Schizosaccharomyces pombe: one gene and its partners. The gene in region 3 interacts genetically with the main gene of each other region. Each region holds a gene or a part of one and is shown on either strand. Other genes may lie near its edges.

What was found. Genes that interact genetically often act in the same process or in processes that back each other up.
Region 1: of rad57 (region 3) and dbl2, a mutation in one rescues a mutant of the other (synthetic rescue), as found in Schizosaccharomyces pombe (3 studies listed by BioGRID, with this or other methods).
Region 2: mutations in rad57 (region 3) and crb2 together harm fitness more than expected from each alone (negative genetic interaction), as found in Schizosaccharomyces pombe (3 studies listed by BioGRID, with this or other methods).

The regions. Positions count from the first base shown.
Region 1 is NC_003421.2:307,672-313,395, reverse strand, and holds dbl2 (DNA recombination protein Dbl2), read right to left. Parts: upstream 3,083-5,724; 5' UTR 2,858-3,082; coding exon 710-2,857; 3' UTR 501-709; downstream 1-500. Other genes in the region: SPOM_SPCC736.02 (uncharacterized protein), read right to left, coding at 1-213; qns1 (glutamine-dependent NAD(+) synthetase), read left to right, coding at 4,915-4,943, 4,988-5,104, 5,305-5,724.
Region 2 is NC_003423.3:4,208,472-4,214,077, reverse strand, and holds crb2 (DNA repair protein), read right to left. Parts: upstream 3,112-5,606; 5' UTR 2,992-3,111; coding exon 655-2,991; 3' UTR 501-654; downstream 1-500. Other genes in the region: histone lysine acetyltransferase Rtt109, read left to right, coding at 1-438; proteasome regulatory subunit rpn1301, read right to left, coding at 4,799-5,512, 5,579-5,606. UniProt on the Schizosaccharomyces pombe protein: Essential for cell cycle arrest at the G1 and G2 stages following DNA damage by X-, and UV-irradiation, or inactivation of DNA ligase. Plays a role in the response to DNA damage.
Region 3 is NC_003424.3:2,119,710-2,127,040, reverse strand, and holds rad57 (DNA recombination mediator, RecA family ATPase Rad57/Rhp57), read right to left. Parts: upstream 4,012-7,331; 5' UTR 3,752-4,011; coding exon 3,685-3,751; exon of another isoform or gene 3,590-3,684; coding exon 2,592-3,589; 3' UTR 2,535-2,591; downstream 1-2,534. Other genes in the region: gih35 (ATP-dependent RNA helicase), read right to left, coding at 1-308, 345-601, 650-714, 763-840, 884-974; whi2 (phosphatase activator), read right to left, coding at 1,237-2,049; gpl1 (Gpl1-Gih35-Wdr83 complex RNA-binding subunit), read left to right, coding at 4,833-6,437; mde1 (5'-methylthioribulose-1-phosphate dehydratase), read left to right, coding at 6,757-6,878, 6,922-6,945, 6,989-7,066, 7,126-7,203, 7,252-7,331. UniProt on the Schizosaccharomyces pombe protein: Involved in recombination DNA repair and in the repair of gamma-ray-induced damage.

The DNA.
Region 1 (5,724 bases), on a different chromosome or scaffold from region 3:
CCTTAAAGATAATCGGTGTCTCAAACTACGAGAAGTCACTGCCAAATTCGAATTATTGGATAACAAAAATATTAATCTTAAAACTTCTAAAGGTAAAGACTCAAAAACCGTTAACGCTCTAGCTTTTCCATCAGTCAAATTATTTTTGACCTTTCTTTTCGTAATTTTTTCATTATAGTCATTTTTTATGGTCTGTTTTCGCTTTTTACCCATCTTTAACAAGATTTTTGGAGCTCACCAACAGACACTATTTAGTGCTGAAAAATTTAAACATGTATAGAAAATAAATGACTACAAAAGATAATTTAACTTAAAATATTTACAACATTTTCATAATAACCCAAATAGTTGGTTTTTTAAAAGAAAAGAATAAATCTGATACTTATTTGCTCAAAGGTTCAAAGAAGAAACTCAAGGTTTTGAAAAAGCAATGTATGTGCTACTAAAAAATGAAAATCAAAACCTAGAATTGTACTAACAACACCAAAAACAAGCTGAAATCTAATGTTTAAAAAAAAAAAATTAATTATATGTAAAAGAGCTAAATAAGTATAGCTAAAACCTAAATGAACTATGGAAAAATAAATGTTGATAATAATACATGAAGGAAACCAGAAATCAAAATTCAGTACTGTTTTTTGAATTAAAAATTATATGTAACAAAGTCGGCTTGAGAGAGAAGTTTCAACGTACGAAAGAAAAATTAATTTCAAATAAAGTCACCATCTTCGTCCGAATCGAGATCGCGTCCTTGTGTAGTCATGGCATGCTTAAATTTTAGCATTTTTAACTTTGCCCTTTTGATCTTGCTACTCGTTGAAGCAAGTGTTACTGTATTTACAAATGGCAAATCCGTAATGTTTGACGAAAAAGGCTCAATAGGTAACGAACAAGACTCTTGAAAAGTTGGTAAAATAGGAGATTTCTTTCCCGCTTTAGAAAAAATATCCGGAATTTTGGTAAGTATTTTCGGAGGCTTTTGGTTTTTGCTGGGTGAGAGATTTACAGCTCGAACAGTAGGCGAGGATGAAATGGTATCCGAAGGAGAAGAGTCCGTTTCAATAGCATTAGGAACATTTCCTTTTTTCTTTTGGACTTGGTCCGAAGAAGAAACAGTAAACGAAGGGACATTAAAAGGGCTAGAAAATACCGACACATTTCTGGATTTCGAGTTTTTAGGCAACGACGAATGTTCCCCTGAAGATATTATAGAAGTAGCTCCAAAACCGTCTTTTCTTTTCGAACCATTTGCATATTTAGGATATATCAACAAGCCTGTTCTCAGCGATACACCTGAATGTTTGGCCAAGGAAGGATGTTTGGCATGTTCAAGCACAGTAGAAGGTGAAACGTTAGGATTGACTGCATTGTTGGATTGTAGAAAGATTGAAGAAGAAGCACTAGATCCATTAAGTTCGTTTGAGCGAAGGGACGTGCCTAAGTGAGAGTGACTCCTACCAAACGAGGACGAAGATGCTGGTTTAACTAAAGGAGATGAAAAAGACGGTACACGAAACTTCACGGGTTGAAAGGCTTTTTTGTTGGGCAAAGCCAAAGGTGTTAAAAGAGATGACGAATCTAGCGAAGGAATGTGTTCATCCTCTTCTGATGCTGCATCTAGAAAATCAGGAGAGTTTGGTATTTCATTATCAGTTGTTTCTGTTACATTTTGAAGCGATGCCAGCTCGGCAGCAGTTTTGACACTTCTTTCGTACAAGTTTTTTGAGGGGTCGGTAACTGTGATATTAATAAAGTTTTGTCGTTTCCCCGTGGGTTTCCGAAGCAGAGGTAACGGAAGGCGAGTCAAACGGAGACGTTTAGAAGTAGGACTGGGTTCTGCAACAGAAGAATCTTGTCTTTGATGATCATCATTTAGCCCATCGTTTTTGTTGGAAGGTATGGTATTACAAGCGCGGGAAGAATGAGGAGATCGAGCATGATTATTAGAAACTTCTTCATTTCCATTTTCTAATGCCTTCACGGAGACACTTACGTTATCATTACTTAGGTTTTGTAACAAATGACCAGCATTTGAATTATTTAGAGTGGTAAAATCATCTGCCTCGAGATCGGCAGAAGGGGAAGAAAAAAAGTCAGAAGCTATGTCGTCTTCTCCAAATTCTTCTACAGGATCTTCAACCAAGGTGCCATTAAAAGACTTGGGTTTTGACAAAACAGGGATATATGCAATTTTCGAAGGTTTCGGTAGCGCAGTTACGGATGAGTTAGATGGGGGATAGGGAGAGGTATTGTTAGCTCGATTAGATTCCTCAACAGAAGAAGCTAGATATGAGTTTGGTCTAAACTTAGCTTTGGGTTGTATTTCCGGTGTTACTGACAGTTGATGCTTACTTGAACATCTCAAACTACCAATATCTGAGTCATCTACTCCATAAGATTGCAAATTTGCGTTCCGGAAGATCGTGGATTTTGTTGAATTTGTATGATGAGCGTGTGTTTTTAACATATTTGACGATAAAGCACCATTTGAATTGTTAGATACATCTGAGTTAGCGGAGTGAAATGGAGGCTGGAATGGTTTTAATAAATAAGCTGGCCTCTTCCCTGTCTCACTCAATTTTGATTTCCTCGGTATAGGTGGAATATTCGCTTCAGTAGTTGTTTGTAAATTCTCAACGTAAACAATAGTTCTATTAAATTCAATTTCAGAATCCAGAACAATTCTCTTGTTGTTAAGGAAAAAATCATCTACGACTCGGTTATCAGAATCGTAGAGAATTCCACGATTATTGAAGCTGTGGAAGCGCATTGTCCCATCTTTCCAAACTTTTACTTTTTTTGCTTTATCAGACGTCCACAATACTTGATAATGAAAAACATTGGAACTTGTATCCATAGAATATAAGTTTTAAAGCCTGTAAAGGCAGTTCCGAAAGGTGGCTTACGAAAAGCTTAATATTGTTGAAAAAAACTCACAAACCACCCTATTTAATAATTAATTAAAGAATAAGAGTGAGAATATCTATTTCATGTATAAACCTCATTTGAGCATTAATTGCTCTCGCTTTAGGAATGGGAATTACGTGCTTTTGTTGGATGGTAGTTAGGAAATGGTTGGTATACAGCAGAAAGTTGAAATCTAGGAAAGTAAATGATCTCAAGCCAGAAAATTACATCTTTGTAGAATCCTTAAACAAGGTTTCCTTTTCTTTTCTTTTTCTTTATGAACTACAAACGAGTTGAGCTTTTGGTTATTGATATGAGGTACTTGTTTACACGCCGAAATGATTGAAGGTAACTTTATAATACGCAAGCAGAAGCAGATTATCTCTTGAGATGGTTTCAAGAGAGATGCTTATTTTTATTAATTTTACTAATCTACAAGGTCTAATATTTGATGGGTTTTTCTTTAGTAAAAGGTCTCTTAGTGCCCAAGGAAGCAAAACTGTTAGATAATTTTCAATATCCTGTATCGAGAAACGGAAACAATGGTTAATAATCCCGATTGATAGTTTCATAGGGACAGACTGTGTGTATACATAATGATATATAAAAAAAGATGTCTTTTTTCACCTTAAACCATGAAGTTTACAGTTGAGCTTACAGAGGCAGATTGCTTCAAATATTCGTAATGTAAAATTATTTATCTTGTAAATTTGTATCTATCGTCGCATTATAATAGAGAATCTAAACATAGCAGTTGGAGATAAAACTGATTCTTTTGTTCTTCTATCGCTTTTGAGGTTTGCAGGCAAGAAAATTCATCAAAGATGATTGATGATACGATTAGGTGCAAAAGTACTTATGTTATAATTTTAGCAACATAAAAGGCCTATAGAGGGTAATTCTGCTCGAAATCTTGAACTTGCAATTCTCATCACCATGTCGAAGATAGGTACAAATTAAGTTATTAAAGTTGGTTTAAGCGCACTGATAGAAATTTACCTAAAATTTAGTACTTGGACGAAATTTAGGAGAAAAAAGCCCAAGAAGATGAAGAAAGTTGTTTCATTGTAATAATAAACCTGAAATCTTTTGTCAATTCTAATTAATACCCTTTCAAAAAAGAAGACTGATCTTTGCAATCACTAAAACTATTAAATTTATTGAGCAGCTGAAGAATCATCTGTCTATAATTTGCAACAAGAAGTAACTGAAGGGGAGTTAAAAAATGAGTATCAACCATTATGGCATCTGTCGCTTTGCTTCTTCTTCTTTAAGCTAAGTAATTTCGATTATATGCTCCAAGAACTAAGTATATTAATTAAATCATGAAATATTTTCAAGGATAAAATTAAAACAATTTTGTACTATTAAAAAAATGTAATTACTGTTGTGCGTATTCCAGATATCAGCTTGCTCTATAATCATCAAAAAACCTGTAATTATAAGCGAGTAACACTAATAAAACCAGACAGACTTTAAATCAAAAAATTTCATTTATTAGCTCGTATATCTGAAAAAGATAGGCAAATTTTTTTATTAAAGGAAGTCCCAGAAATGACTTCACTTGAGAAGATATATCGCTAAAACTAGAATTTGTATTGCAATATCAAATAAAAATTACAATTATTCTGATTTTATAAATCAATTTTTAAGCTATGTAGTAATGTACAATTAATACACATGTAGTTAGAAGAGTCGCCAAAATTTGCATAAGAAGTATTAAGGTTCTTTTTACTAATATCAGAGAGGGTCTTTAAAATTATTTAAATTTTCTTTTTCTTACTTAGGGAAACTGGCATTTTTGCTATATGATGCGAACCCTTTATTTACACTTGACTCTACTATGACAACTACCTCCTGCTCTTACTTACTGCCATAACCGTGAATAGACATTTGAATAGAAACTTCGATCTTCACTCATAGTTGGAACTTTTATAGTACGAAAAAAACATTATAAGTTAAATTACTTGTTTGGGAATAAACCTCAAGTTAAGCATTCAGTTCATTATGGAACGATATGTAACCATCGCATCTTGGTATGCTATAATCATTTTTCGTCTCAATGATCTAACTTCTGTAGTCAGCTGAACCAGTGGGCAATGGACTTTGAGGGAAACCGTCTACGCATCATTGATTCCATCAAAGAGGCGAAAAGACAAAACGCAAGCCTTCGTGTTGGTCCAGAATTAGAAGTCACGTATGTAATAGAAATGGATTTAAATGTTGCAAGTGTATCAGTGAATAAGCTAAAGTTTAAACTTCATGAAGGATAGCCATGGTCAAGTTTACTGAGTGCGACTTCGGTTGAGTTTATTCATCTTCTTGCAATATTGAAACTTGTATTTTACCTTGATATTAATTTTATGCACTGTAACTTTCTATTAACAAACGCATTAGAGGCTATGGCTGTGAAGATCATTTTCTAGAAAGTGACACTTACTACCATAGTTGGGAAATGTTATGTTCGATTATTCACGATCCTGATTGCCAAGACATTCTCCTTGACATCGGTATGCCTGTAATGCACAAAGCCATGCGTCACAACTGCCGTATTCTAGCTCTAAATGGAAAAATCTTGTTAATCCGTCCCAAGATTTGGCTTTGTGACGATGGAAATTTTCGTGAGTCTCGTTGGTTTACTCCCTGGTTAAGGCCAAGAGTTGTGGAAACTCATTACTTGCCTACTTTTGTTGCAAAGTCTTTAAACCAAACAACCGTTCCTATTGGAGATGCCATTCTTCAATGCAATGAAACCGTTGTTGGTGTGGAAACCTGCGAAGAGCTGTTTACTCCAAATAGTCCTCACATTGATATGGC
Region 2 (5,606 bases), on a different chromosome or scaffold from region 3:
TTATGCGAGCTTCAAGATGAGAAAAGTGACATGTCCGTTGAAGAGTTTTGGGATACGCTGACTTATAGACAAGAGTGCTCCTCAGGTAAACTAGTTGGCTTTTTCACATTACAGCTACAGTTCTATCAAACAAGAGAATTTATTGCTAAAGATAATTTTGGTGATTCTGGTGTAATGATTCCAGCTAAATTATACAGAGTCACTTACGATACTTTATTGAAGCATCCATTTGGCTCTTTATCTGATGCACAGTCGTCAACAGAAAAGTTTCTTAGTAACACACTTTCCGCTGTACAAAATTTAAAGGATTTTCATTATAAGCGCTACAAGCTAGATATATGTGGGTTGGCAAAACGTGATGATCGTAAAAATCACAACCATTCGAAACCTGCTACGCAAGCCAATATTCTACAGCCACGAAAAAAAGTGAAAAAATAAAGGACTTTAAGTTCGTTGAAAATTTTTAATAATCCCAATCAATCCTCTCATGTAGATTTTTAGAGAAAGTTTTTGTTTAATATTGAAATTGACACTTTTCGTCAGTATTGCAAATAAATTAATAAACAACAAATATCTAAAATTAATAAAAAGCTAAATTAATGAGAGTGAAACTCAGGGGGAGTTAGTAAAAATAACTATATCAAAAAACCAAAACTAAGTAGAAATATCAGACTGACTAATAAGACATTCGACTATCCATTCAGGATCAACGACCGGACAATTAGTTTCATCTACAATGTTTCCATCCATCGTAAGTATCAAATCACACTCCAAATGTGCAACATTTGGTCTAATTTCAACGTCAGCACCCAATGCCAACGCGTGATAGACATGAGCCAAAGCTTTTTGACCCTGCTCTGTATTTTCAATCTTTTTCTGCCAAGATTTTGCTTCAGGTATAATAAATAAAATCTTTTTTCCAAATAAAGGACCCTTCCTTGCCAAAAGTCTGTCATATAAAGAATCAGTGGTATCAAAAGGTTCTATCCGTTGGGAAAGTGTACAATCTAGACGGTGTGAATAGCCAGATGCCAATAAATAAGGAGAAAAATCAACAACTCTGTTCATTTTTAAGCACTGTTTAATAAATTGAGGATGGACACACGGGATATTAAAAGCTAGAGCTTCTAAATATTTAACCTTTCTAGAAAATGTGTCAGATACAACGAAAGCTTGATTCCACGATTTACTTCGCTTTTGAGGTTTCAAATGGCGTAACTTTTTTTGTTTGCTTTTAAACGGGTCATTAAACAAAGGGCGTAAGCCTGTATCAAGAACTAATCCTCCATGATCCTGAACTACAGTTTCCAATGCACTTCGGTCATAGGCATCCTCATGCACGGGACCGCTGAATGCAAACACGCAATCGTCAAAGATGAGCTGATTACTTTCTGAATCCAAGTTCTTCTTGACAAAGGAAGAATCCCTTTCTTTCAAAGAAGAGCGGTTTCTCTGAGAATCATGTGAAGGAAGAAATGATGTTTCCTCAAACTTCATATCTTTTAAAGTAGAAAAACTGAGGTCTCTTCCTTGAAACCGCCGAATGTTCACAGGAGCAACATAAATAGTAGAAATGGGAACCGTAACCTCAATTTCTCCGTGTGCCAAAATAACCATGTCGTTGTTTAGAGCGTCCACTGCTATAAGGGATAATTGCTCATTAGTAGATCGAAATGTTTTCACAACAGTATGCTTGATTTTTCCTAATCTTGTGGATTGTACAACGTCTCCTTTTTTCAAAAAAAATCTCTTAATTTGATTTGAATTAACCGTGCTCATAGTTGCATCATCAAATTGAACCTTATACATGATGGAACTTGTTACGGCTGAATGTACGGGTGCGACAAGAGTTGCTGGGTAGTAAAAAGAGGGATATCCTTTAAAAAAAGCGAGTACACGGTTTTTAAAAGACCTTCTTGAATTCGGTGATTGGGAAGGTTTTAATGGCTTAATAGAAGCCCTAGTGAATAAACTATCAATTTTAGGAGTATCCAGGCTTAGGCTGTCAGACCTTGAGATAGCTTGATTATTAACCGATTTTCTCAGCCGTTTGTTTACAAAAATTGAGCTCACTTGACTAGACTGATCTATTACAGTCGACGGTGAAGCACTTGTTTCATATGAAGAAATCACATTAAATGGATTAGGAAAGTTTTCATCATTAATGTTTTTAGTTTTTTTTGAAAACTTGGTTTCCGTATTATCAACTTTTTCAGACGAGGGCTCAGTAAAGCTAAATTTTCGTTTATATTGTTTTTCGGATGTCTCTGGTAAAAAAGCAGGAGGAGTGGACTCTACTCGACCATAAAGAACGGGAGACCCTAGAGAAGTCGCCAGTCGAGTAGGTGTAGTCTCTACTTGACCGCTTTCTGTCTCATTTTCCATCTCATCCAAAGTGTAATCGTAAAACTTTGTCCTATGTTGAGCTACGGTTTCAGGTACAAGGACTTCTCCAACGGTTTCTAAGTTTTTCTCATTTTGAGAAACTGACAAAGGTGTATCTTTTAAAGTTGAAAGAGTTGATGGTAATAGAGAAGTAAATGGGGAAAGAATTTGGGAAGAATTAGATACATTCTGAGGAGTCAACAGCTTTTCATGGTCCGATATAACTGATTGACGATCGTATAAGCGTTTTAACACTGTATGTGTCTGCTTGGGTGAATAAGGCGACGATATCACCTTACGAGAATCATGTTGAATAAGTTCATCATCCGAAATGTCCTGGGAACTCTGTTTTGCAAAAGCAGCTTGACTAGGTACTTCAAACAACTGCGTAAGACTTAGCTCCTCAACAGCACCATTGTTATTCACATCCTTAGAATAACTAAACTCCTTATTAGAATTATCATTACTCCTAGGAGGGGAAGGATTAATTGAAGCATTCACTTTTGAATAATTGTTACGAGAAATTGCTGCTTGTGCTCCAAATACACGTTGAGAATTTATGTCAAGGCCAAATCCTTTATGCAAAGAGGTATCATTCACCTCCATAATATTGTTAAACTTTCAAACAAAATATTGAAAACATCTAAAATACCTCACAATTGTCAGAACTACAAATTTAACCAGGGCTTAACCCAAATTTCGATTTATCTGTTGTAAGCTCTGCATAAGTAACACGTTGCACCGTTACTTTATATGAAAGCAGTTAAGAACGTTTAGTTACAACACCAGCTATTTGGCTAATCATATATATATATATATTAATATGGAAATGAAGGGCTCAAGGTAGAAAAACTTATTTTCTAATTTTATTAATAATTGTTTGACCTGATGTACAAACTACAGCATGTTTCCACTTTTATTAATACGTTCGATAGGAGATTTATGTTGTTAGAATCAGTAATGTTGAAGAAGTAATTTTAAATTTGAGTTTTGAACTTTTCATCTTGACTTTTTGAAACAATCATAGAAAATAGATTTTGCTTGTTTAATGATATTTCTAAAAAAAGAATGTCAAATATAGTTTCAGGTTATATTGCTAACATTCATATCTTATTCGTAGTGGAGCCAACATACATTCGAATTCCTAATGAGTGATAACTATCGTTTATATACTTTATTAAAACTTAACAGCTGTCTACGGCCATACCTAGGCGAAAACACCAGTTCCCGTCCGATCACTGCAGTTAAGCGTCTGAGGGCCTCGTTAGTACTATGGTTGGAGACAACATGGGAATCCGGGGTGCTGTAGGCTCCTTCTTTATTATTGCTATTTAATTACTACTATTTTGTTTGAGTTGACTATCCGCATACATTGTTTATATGATTTTTTTTCATGCAAATGAAGACAAGCAGATAGACGTTATAAAGCGATTATGATTGTAATGAGCAAGTCTAAATTTGCTCAAGAGAAAGAATGTAACAAGCCATAGCTCAAAAAAGCAATTACATTTACTACGCTTTATTTTTTTAACAATATATATTACTAAATGTAACGGATGACACCGAGGTCGGGTAGCGTAGTTGGTTATTGCGCACGACTGTTAATCGTGAGGTCGAGGGTTCGAGTCCCTCCCTGACCGTTTTATGACCACTTTTTTGGCTGTTTACAAAAGTAAAATCGTTAGATTTGAAATTCAATGATATTGCGCAAAAATTGAATGTGACTACACGTCAATACTTTAACCATTTACAGTTGGCTACTTTCTAGCTTTAGTAAATCATTTCAATACTGTTCAACTTTCTAACTTATTAAGAATAGATGTTGGTATTATGTATTTGACATTACATATCCTACATTTTACCAACTGTTTTGGAAATAAAACATATTTTGTAAAACAACAATAATCAATATAAAGCATAAATAATAATGAAGTATGAAGTAGAGATACTTCGGGAGTGCAACTTCTCATTTTTAGTCGTCCTAATGTAATTCATCCTTGGCGCTCGCAGTTCATATTCATGAACATACATTGCATTTATAAATCTTAAGTGTTTAGGAAAGATAAGCATTGTATGCAAGAAAAATAAAGATTGCCTATTTCCTAAAACAAATATTTCATATATGAGAAAAAATGAAACTGTACCAATAAACATTCTGTAAAGAGCATTTTGAGCGAGCAACATTGTATTGTGTACTCCAACTTACTCTTACTCATTTTGGTAAGAGGACAAATCCTACCATGAAAGCATTTTAATTCCTCCATATTTATTTAAAAAAAAAAAAAAGAACGCCAGTAATGCTCAATTTAAAAACTTTTAATACGAATCGTCAGTGAATTATAAAGAAACGATTCAACGGATAATATTTTAAATAGAAATTTTTGATATACGACGAATTACTTAATCGAAGACATTACTCAGAACCATTATTCCTGCTCACGAAGCGAGCAATTGCTTTAAGAAATTGCAGAGCACCTCCCTCATTAGGATTGGCAGATTCGTCGAGTGAGAGACCAAGTGCTGAAATAATGTTTACACCACCAGGAGAATTTAAAGCTTGAGAAAAGCTTCTCAAAGCTTGAGCATATTGAGGACTACTAACAATAGCCAAAACCCCCTCCAAATTATTTGGGGTATCAGGAGGCATGTAAGGCATGAGTCGATCAATAACACCTTCTTGGCATAAAAGATCGGTTAAATTCGAAGGTTTGAGGATTTCGCAAAGATCGACTGTACTACCTCCAAATCCAGCCTGAGCAGAAATTGTAGCCAATAGATTCCTCACAGCTTCCGATGAATTAATTTCATCGCTGTTCGGGGCTCCAATCTCGGAGCTCTCTTTTGAAGATTCAGTTGGTTGAGCAATAGGTTCCGATTGCTCAACAGTATCCACTTCCATCATATCAGAAACCGTTGCAACATCAGAGCGGGCCGGATCTAATAAATCTTGATCCTTAATGTAGCTGTTAATTCTTTCAGCGTAAGAAGTATCGTTATCGTCTGAGGCTTCTTGCATCCAGTAAAATAGGCTATGAGCGCTAGAAGGATATTTGAGCATGTAAGCTCTCCCAGTGGTACATTCCGTAACTTTTTCAAATGTACACTCAGAAGAAAATACAATTATATCCTAAACTTGGTTAGTATCGACTAGAACTTTTAATGTGTTACAGGTGGTATTGAAAGTGATACTTACATCCTCGGGATTTTCAAGATCATTCCTT
Region 3 (7,331 bases):
AGTCTTCGGAAGCATGAATTAAGGAATCTTCAATCTTTTTTATACAGTATTCTATTTCTTTTCTTCCCGAAAGAAAAACCAATATATCACCAGGCGGATAGGTTGAATTAATGTTTATAACCGTTTCGATTGCAGAATCAACGTAATTTTCTGTAGGTTTCTGCAAAAATAATGTTTCTACGGGGAATAATTTCCCTTCAATTGACATAGTGCATACTTTATCTTGTCCGAAAAACTGAGACAGTTTATTCGCGTCAACAGAAGCGCTGGAGAGCACAAGTCTAAAATCATTCCTCTTTTCTAAAATCCTTGATTTGTCAGCTATGAATAGAAAATTTAAATACCTTTTCAAAACTCCTAGTAGGAGATCTGTCGACAAAGTTCGTTCATGGACTTCGTCGAGAATGACTATTGAATATCTTTCCAGCAAAGGATCAAAAAATATTTCATTCAAAAGGATTCCATCGGTCATATATTTTATTTTTGTTTTTTCAGAAACGTTATGATCAAATTGAATGCTATATCCACACAAACTTCCAGGAGGAGAGTTCAGTTCCAAAGATACTCGTTCAGAGACGCTCTTTGCTACGAGTCTTCTGGGCTTTCAAATAAGTTAGGAGGATGATAAATAAACAAAGTTGTGACTAACCTGTGTACATCCTATAATACCGTTTTGGGACGCCCATCCAGCTTCGTATAAAAATTGAGGGATTTCTTCAAGATTATTTTTAGTTTAATAAACCATCTAATCAAAATACTTACGAGTTGTTTTACCACATCCTGTGTGGCCTAACACTATAGTAATCTGATTTTGCTCTACTGCATATAACAACTGGTTTCCTAAATGTAACGTCAGCAATGTAAGGGTAAAACAGCTACATACTGTATTTGGTGATTGGTAATAGCTTTTTCTGAATATTTAAGGGTGTATTTGTAAGAGTACTAAGCGATTGGGAAATAAACTCATTAGGCATACTCTTGCGTAGAGAGCATCAAGTAAGTGGAAGCACTTTCATGTTACCACAACTAGATTGAACGTATTGTAATATTTATAAAAAACAGTATTAACAAAATTCAAATAAAAAATTATTATTCAAAATAAATATACTACAATAATTATCACGCAATTTGAGTAAAATCTGGGAAACCTCGTAACATTGGTATCTGTTAAAAGAATGGCTGCATGCACGGCCTAACTTAGCAAAATGTTTTTTAATCTTATTTTTACTAAAACACTTAGTCTTGAGAATTTTCACGATTTCCCATAATCGTAACTTCCAACAACCACTGCTTTCTCCTCCAAACATTGATTAAAGATCCGTTTACTTTTATAACTTCGTTTATCCACCAGCACTTATTACCTGGCTGTCCCCATAGCTTCAAAATTTTACTCAAAAATTCTTCGCTTAATGAGGAGCTCTCGACTGTTGTTATGATATACGACATTAAGCTCATTAATTTTGGCTCCTTTACTCTCTTGGCCCATTTATCGTTGTAGCGAAATCCACAATGCTGTAATGCATCAACTAGCGGTCCATCACTCAGCCCTTTTCGGATTTTTTTTTTGTCTGCACTTTCAAAAACGTCGTTGTTCTTGAAAGTTTGCTCTAATAAGTCGCTCCTGATTTTTTGGTCGACGGGCTTTTTATTTTCAGAAAATAAATAGATATTGCAACATTCTGTTAAGAATAAAACGAGGGTAGTATTCGATATAGGATTAAATGCAATTTTTGAGGGATAAGCATTATTACTTTTTTTAAATAATGGTAGATAGGTGTCCAAAATCCATTTACAAATGGAAGGGTCGATTTTGTGGCATTTGAAACATGATGAGACATCACCTCCCTCATGTTTTAAAAGCAGATGAAACCCATTAGGAAATAGAAGTGCCAACACGGTAGTTGGTAATATTGGAAGTTCAACGCGATCAATGACTATTAGTTTGCCCCGGATGTTGAAATGTATTTTTTCTGGAAAAAACTTTAAATTACTTTCCAGTGTATTGGCTAAAGTGTCAACCGTATTGATTCGATCAATTGGAACTGACATTTTTGTGTTCTATTTTTGTAACGATTATGTTATAAAAGAATGTTCATTTTTTATTTACAAGATATCACCAATGCATACTTGGCTTTTGGTAAAAATGTTAGGTGCAAATTTCTAAAGGATCGCCAATAGCGGAAGCTATCGGAAAGGTCTTACAAAATCTTTTACGCGCAATAGTAAAAACAGGTAGAAAAAGCCATTCGTCGGTTAAGAGAGCTCTTTGGGCATTCTTTGTTACGTGTAAAACTTTTTATTGTATTTTTTTCCATTTCAATACCCAACTGGTATATCCAAAATTCAGTCCACTAAAGTATGTCGGATTCTAATAAAAATGCACTACCATCATAGATCAACAAAATATATATTTAATAGTGACAGAGGTAATATAAATATAAAGATAAATAAGTACACTTATATATGTAACAGTTACTCAAAGCATTACTTTTCTTTCTGCGAATGATTGATAAGCGACAGTCGATTAAACAAAGTTAGGGCAATTCATAAACCGGTTTTATTATATTATATATAAAATTTTTACAAAAATGCTAGCACGAATATATCCCAACCGATCCTATGCATATTCGTACGTCAAGCCTTGGAGAATTTGGTGAATAAACAACCCGAAAGATTCTCCCCGAATTATTGGTGGCAGAGTCGGTTTTCTTAATTAATGCTAATCTCGTACTGATGTTATTAGTCCAAACGAGACCAAGAGATGGTATTTTGGGATTTGGATCTGTGTCATCCCATCCCGAAAACCATTGCGATTGATAATCTAAACTAAACAACCCAATAGCATCATAATCTCTAGGAATTCTATCGCTAACTTGGTTAGCTATGACAACAGCAGCTTCATGTTGATGAGCTAAAGTGCGTAGAGTCATAGCTAACTTTCCCAATTGATTTCCACGTTTGGCAATATTATCTAAATCTCTAAAATGACTTTTGGATCGGTTGTAACGGAGCTCAGCTCTGTAGTTGGAGGCGACACTATCCAATATAACCAACCCAATTTTATCCCGATTGAATAAAATCGGCAGTTGATACTGAATGATATGTTCTTGAGATTCCAGATCTGGGCATAATATAGTATACACCCTATCTCCTGGATTTTTTATAATTATGTCTTTCTTATCAGCTTTGGGATACCTTTCTGGTAAATAACGCGCCAGTTCAAATAATCGTTTTGTTTCAAGACCGGACTCTGTAGAAATGAAGACAGCTGCTTTGTTCATTCCTCCTAAACTGAGAGGTAGTTGAACCATTAAACAAAGCTGCATACAAAACTGTGACTTCCCTGAACCGCTTTCACCACATATTTCAGTTAACTGTCCTACTGGTATACCTCCATGTAGAGTTTCATCCAACTTTACATCGCCAGTTGTCAAATATTTCGAAGTGACTTTGGAAGCAGAACATCTTACTGGTTGAAGAAGGAGGGATATCTGCTCAATTAACTGTAATAACTCACTTTGACTACAATGTGTGCGTCTTTCTAGCTCAGTAATATCCAGCGTTAACAAATCAACCGTGCTTACTTCTCCTAAAGCTGTCAGTAATTCCGTCTTTTAAGATCCCGGTACAAAAACCCAATATTTTTTTTTTATGTGCAAGCTTATTGAACTACTAAACGCTTACCTAATTCAAATGCTGAAGCAATTTTCTCATCAAAGTAGAAATTGTCAACATAATTCGAAATATCCATCCATATAGTAGAAAGAAAGAAGATTTTTAATTGTAAATATGATATGTATAGTTTTTACTCATAAAGATAAATGAAAATTATATCCACACCATAGAATATTCGAAAGTTGATAGTTTTATATAATGAACAGCTTTGTATCCTACGATTGAATTAAATTCTCACGATTATTTAGAAGTAATAGCACGAACTTCTAACCCACTTTTTCGCAGAAAGAAACGGTAATTTATGTACCACTATAGAAGTGGTGAGTCGAAGATGTTGTACGCGAATTACAACTGACCTGCCAATACCTCTATGTTTAGTAATTATAATCCTTATGAGAAGAAGCCCCGCAATCGACGAATATTTATATGAACATTGGTTTTTATAGAACATTAGCATAGTAACCGCTTACACTTATTTTTTTAACATCTTCAAACCATACATCTATGAAAAACCCCACGTAATGATACACATACTTGCCTAACCACCATTCCTTAATTGATAATTAAGTTATCAAGATATGTGAAATTATATAAGCAGCATATCCAAATGTGTATTGCTCATTAATTGTTAGGCATTAAAATTCGTAGTATGGTTGAGCAAACGAAGTATAAGAAATGATGTTTTACCAATCAACCGACGATAATTCGCTCAGTTTACCAGCTACCAACAAATTTCTTAGTTTATGAATGCTTGGTTCAACATGAAGTAATACTAAATAGAACTTTGTTGAGATTTCTCAATAACAGACAAAATATACATGATACATTTTTCATCTCATGAAACTTCAACTGTACAAAGAATTAGGTAATAGATAAATAACGTACCCTAACGCTCGCAGATTGCACTACGGAGGCAGCTGAAATTCGAAGCAAGGGCAACTGTTTAAAAATTGAGTATTGTAATTGCTTTTGTCAACAAATCAGAATTCTTTGATAAGTTATCTGGCTTTATTAAAAATTAAAAGTTGCTCAACATAGTATTCTTGTCGCCTCAAAAATAATGGGCTTATAGTATCCTAAAATATGCCTTAAATTTTGAATTTTGAATTTTTTTTTTTTCAGTTTAACTACGGATCACGATTACTTCTTGTTTTAAAATGTATGCCAATTCAAGAAAAAGAAGCAATGTCGATGTTCATCGGCACCCTTATGTAGTTTATGGCTCCCCTTTTGATCTTGAGCCGTCCAGAATTAATCAAGGAGTTCCTGTTTGGAAACAAGAAGCCAGGGATGAGCGTAATAGAAAGAGATTTCATGGTGCATTTACTGGTGGATTTTCTGCTGGCTATTTTAATACGGTTGGTTCAAAAGAGGGTTGGCAACCTAAATCTTGGAAAAGTTCAAGGAATGAAAACAAAAGTGTGCATGGAATGACTATTGACGATATTATGGACGAGGAAGATCGTGCTGACCAAGAGCTTAGTAAAGTTTATACTTCGAAAATAAATACGATTGATACATCTATACCAATTGATGATCCTCTACTTAGAGAATTCTCAAATAGGGACGATAGCATTGGCGAAAAAATGTTAAAAAATCTTGGATGGAACGGTCATGATTTTGTTATATCTCCATTTCAAGGGTATTATGATGACACTAAGTTAACCAACCAAGCTTATCACGGTATCGGGTATCAAGCGGACGATGTTTTTCAGCTGGAAAGAAAACCAGTTGGAATGGCAAAAAATCTGCGCGGTGGATTTGGATCAGGTGTTTTAAATGATGATGGGATAGAAGATCAAGATATATACGACCTCGGTGCTCCAAAAATGCGGTATGATAAATCTATCAACATTACAAAAAAAGTCGCTTCTCCATTTACACCCGTTAAGCATACCTTTCTGTCAAAAAAAGACAGAAGCAAAGGGAAAAGCATAATCAAATCGCAAAATTGCTCAGATGGTCTACCTCCCCTTCCAGGATTTGTAGTGGTATTTAATTTACAATCACCTTTTCAAAATAATTGGTTTCCTCCTCCTACAATACCTGAGGGTTGGGAGCCAAAACTTTTTACAAATTCTCAAGGATTTTCACAAAAAAAAGCCCAAACTTCAAATGAGCGCTTACCACTTTTTGCTGAGAAAAGTGAAACAAATTCCAACGGTGAAGCAAGTTTACCTAGTGATGTTAATCATGGTGTCAAGGAAGATGAGGGATCTTGGCAACTAATTGACATTGAGACAGCTAAAAATGCAATGTCTAGGAAAGATAATCCCTATAACGATGAGCGTGCCGGAATTTACGAGATTTTCCTTAAGGCGCACCTAATGAATATGCCACGATTACTCAGAGATATTGATTCTCGTCATTTACTAGAATTTACTCAAACAGCTTCACTATACCGACCTATGTCAAAAAATCTATCGATGCGTTTCGTAAGTTCTTTTGAAGCCTCGACTAAAAAAGAGTCGATTAATTCACATAGTGAAACTGATGATTCAATTTTGAGAAGACCTCGTACAGTTGTTACATTCATTCCCGAACGTCTTCTTTGTAAACGCTTTAATGTCGCCTTACCGTACGGTCAAGAAAAACAAAAGCGTAAAAATATTTCTTCTATTGAAAATGTACCTATTATTGCTGAAATTGAAAACAAAAGTATCGATTCAATTGATACAAGGAAGTTGAATCGACCCCAGGATATAGAAGAAAAACCAAAAGCTCCCCAAACTCTTTTCAGTGCAATATTTGGGGATGACTGAATAAAAAAATTATTAATTGATTTCTATTGTACTTTATTTTCATTAGGTTAATAGACTGTAATAAACTTTTTGTTTTAAGCAAAAACTTAGTACTTCCTATTTATTCAAGTGCCATGACACAATGTTTAATAATTTCATAAAAAAAAATAATAATTATCAAGATAGCTATTATACACATCAATTCTTTACTTCACTTTGTTTGCTTAATGTCGCGTAGATTAAACTCACAGTTACTTTTGCTACTTAAAAATTTTTAAACGTTAATGAAACGTGACCCTTTTCAAAATTTTTCATCAAGATAATTATCATCATAGTAATAATGGATGATTTTCTAAAGAAAGACTTAGGATGTCTTCGTTCTGGCGATTTGAAAAAATGTGGTGAATTAATTTGCGAAATCTGTCGAGATCTGTATACGTCGGGCTGGGTTACAGGAACTGGGTAATTACTAATTTGAATTTAATATAACTAATAAAAGAATCAGAGGAGGAATTACCATTCGCTCTGGGTACAAAGCATTATTAAAGCGTCAAATATTAACTTTCATGTAGAGATGCCATTGTAATCGCTCCCTCGGGTGTACAAAAGGAAAGGATGGAGTTACACCATCTTTTTGTCATGTCTTTAATGTATGATATTATTATTGTCATTGTTTTTATCATTTTGAGTAGATGCTAACCTCTTGCAGTACTCGAGAATATATGCGAATGCCAGCTCTTCGATTGAAACCTTCTCAGTGTACACCTTTGTTTTTAGCAGTATACACGTAAGTCAGCAAAGTTGTTGAACATTGAATTCTTTACTAAAGCAGTAGCTTGCGTGACGCATATGCATGTATCCATACCCATTCTCAGGAAGCCATTTTATTGTCTACTCTATTTGCGGATTCTGATC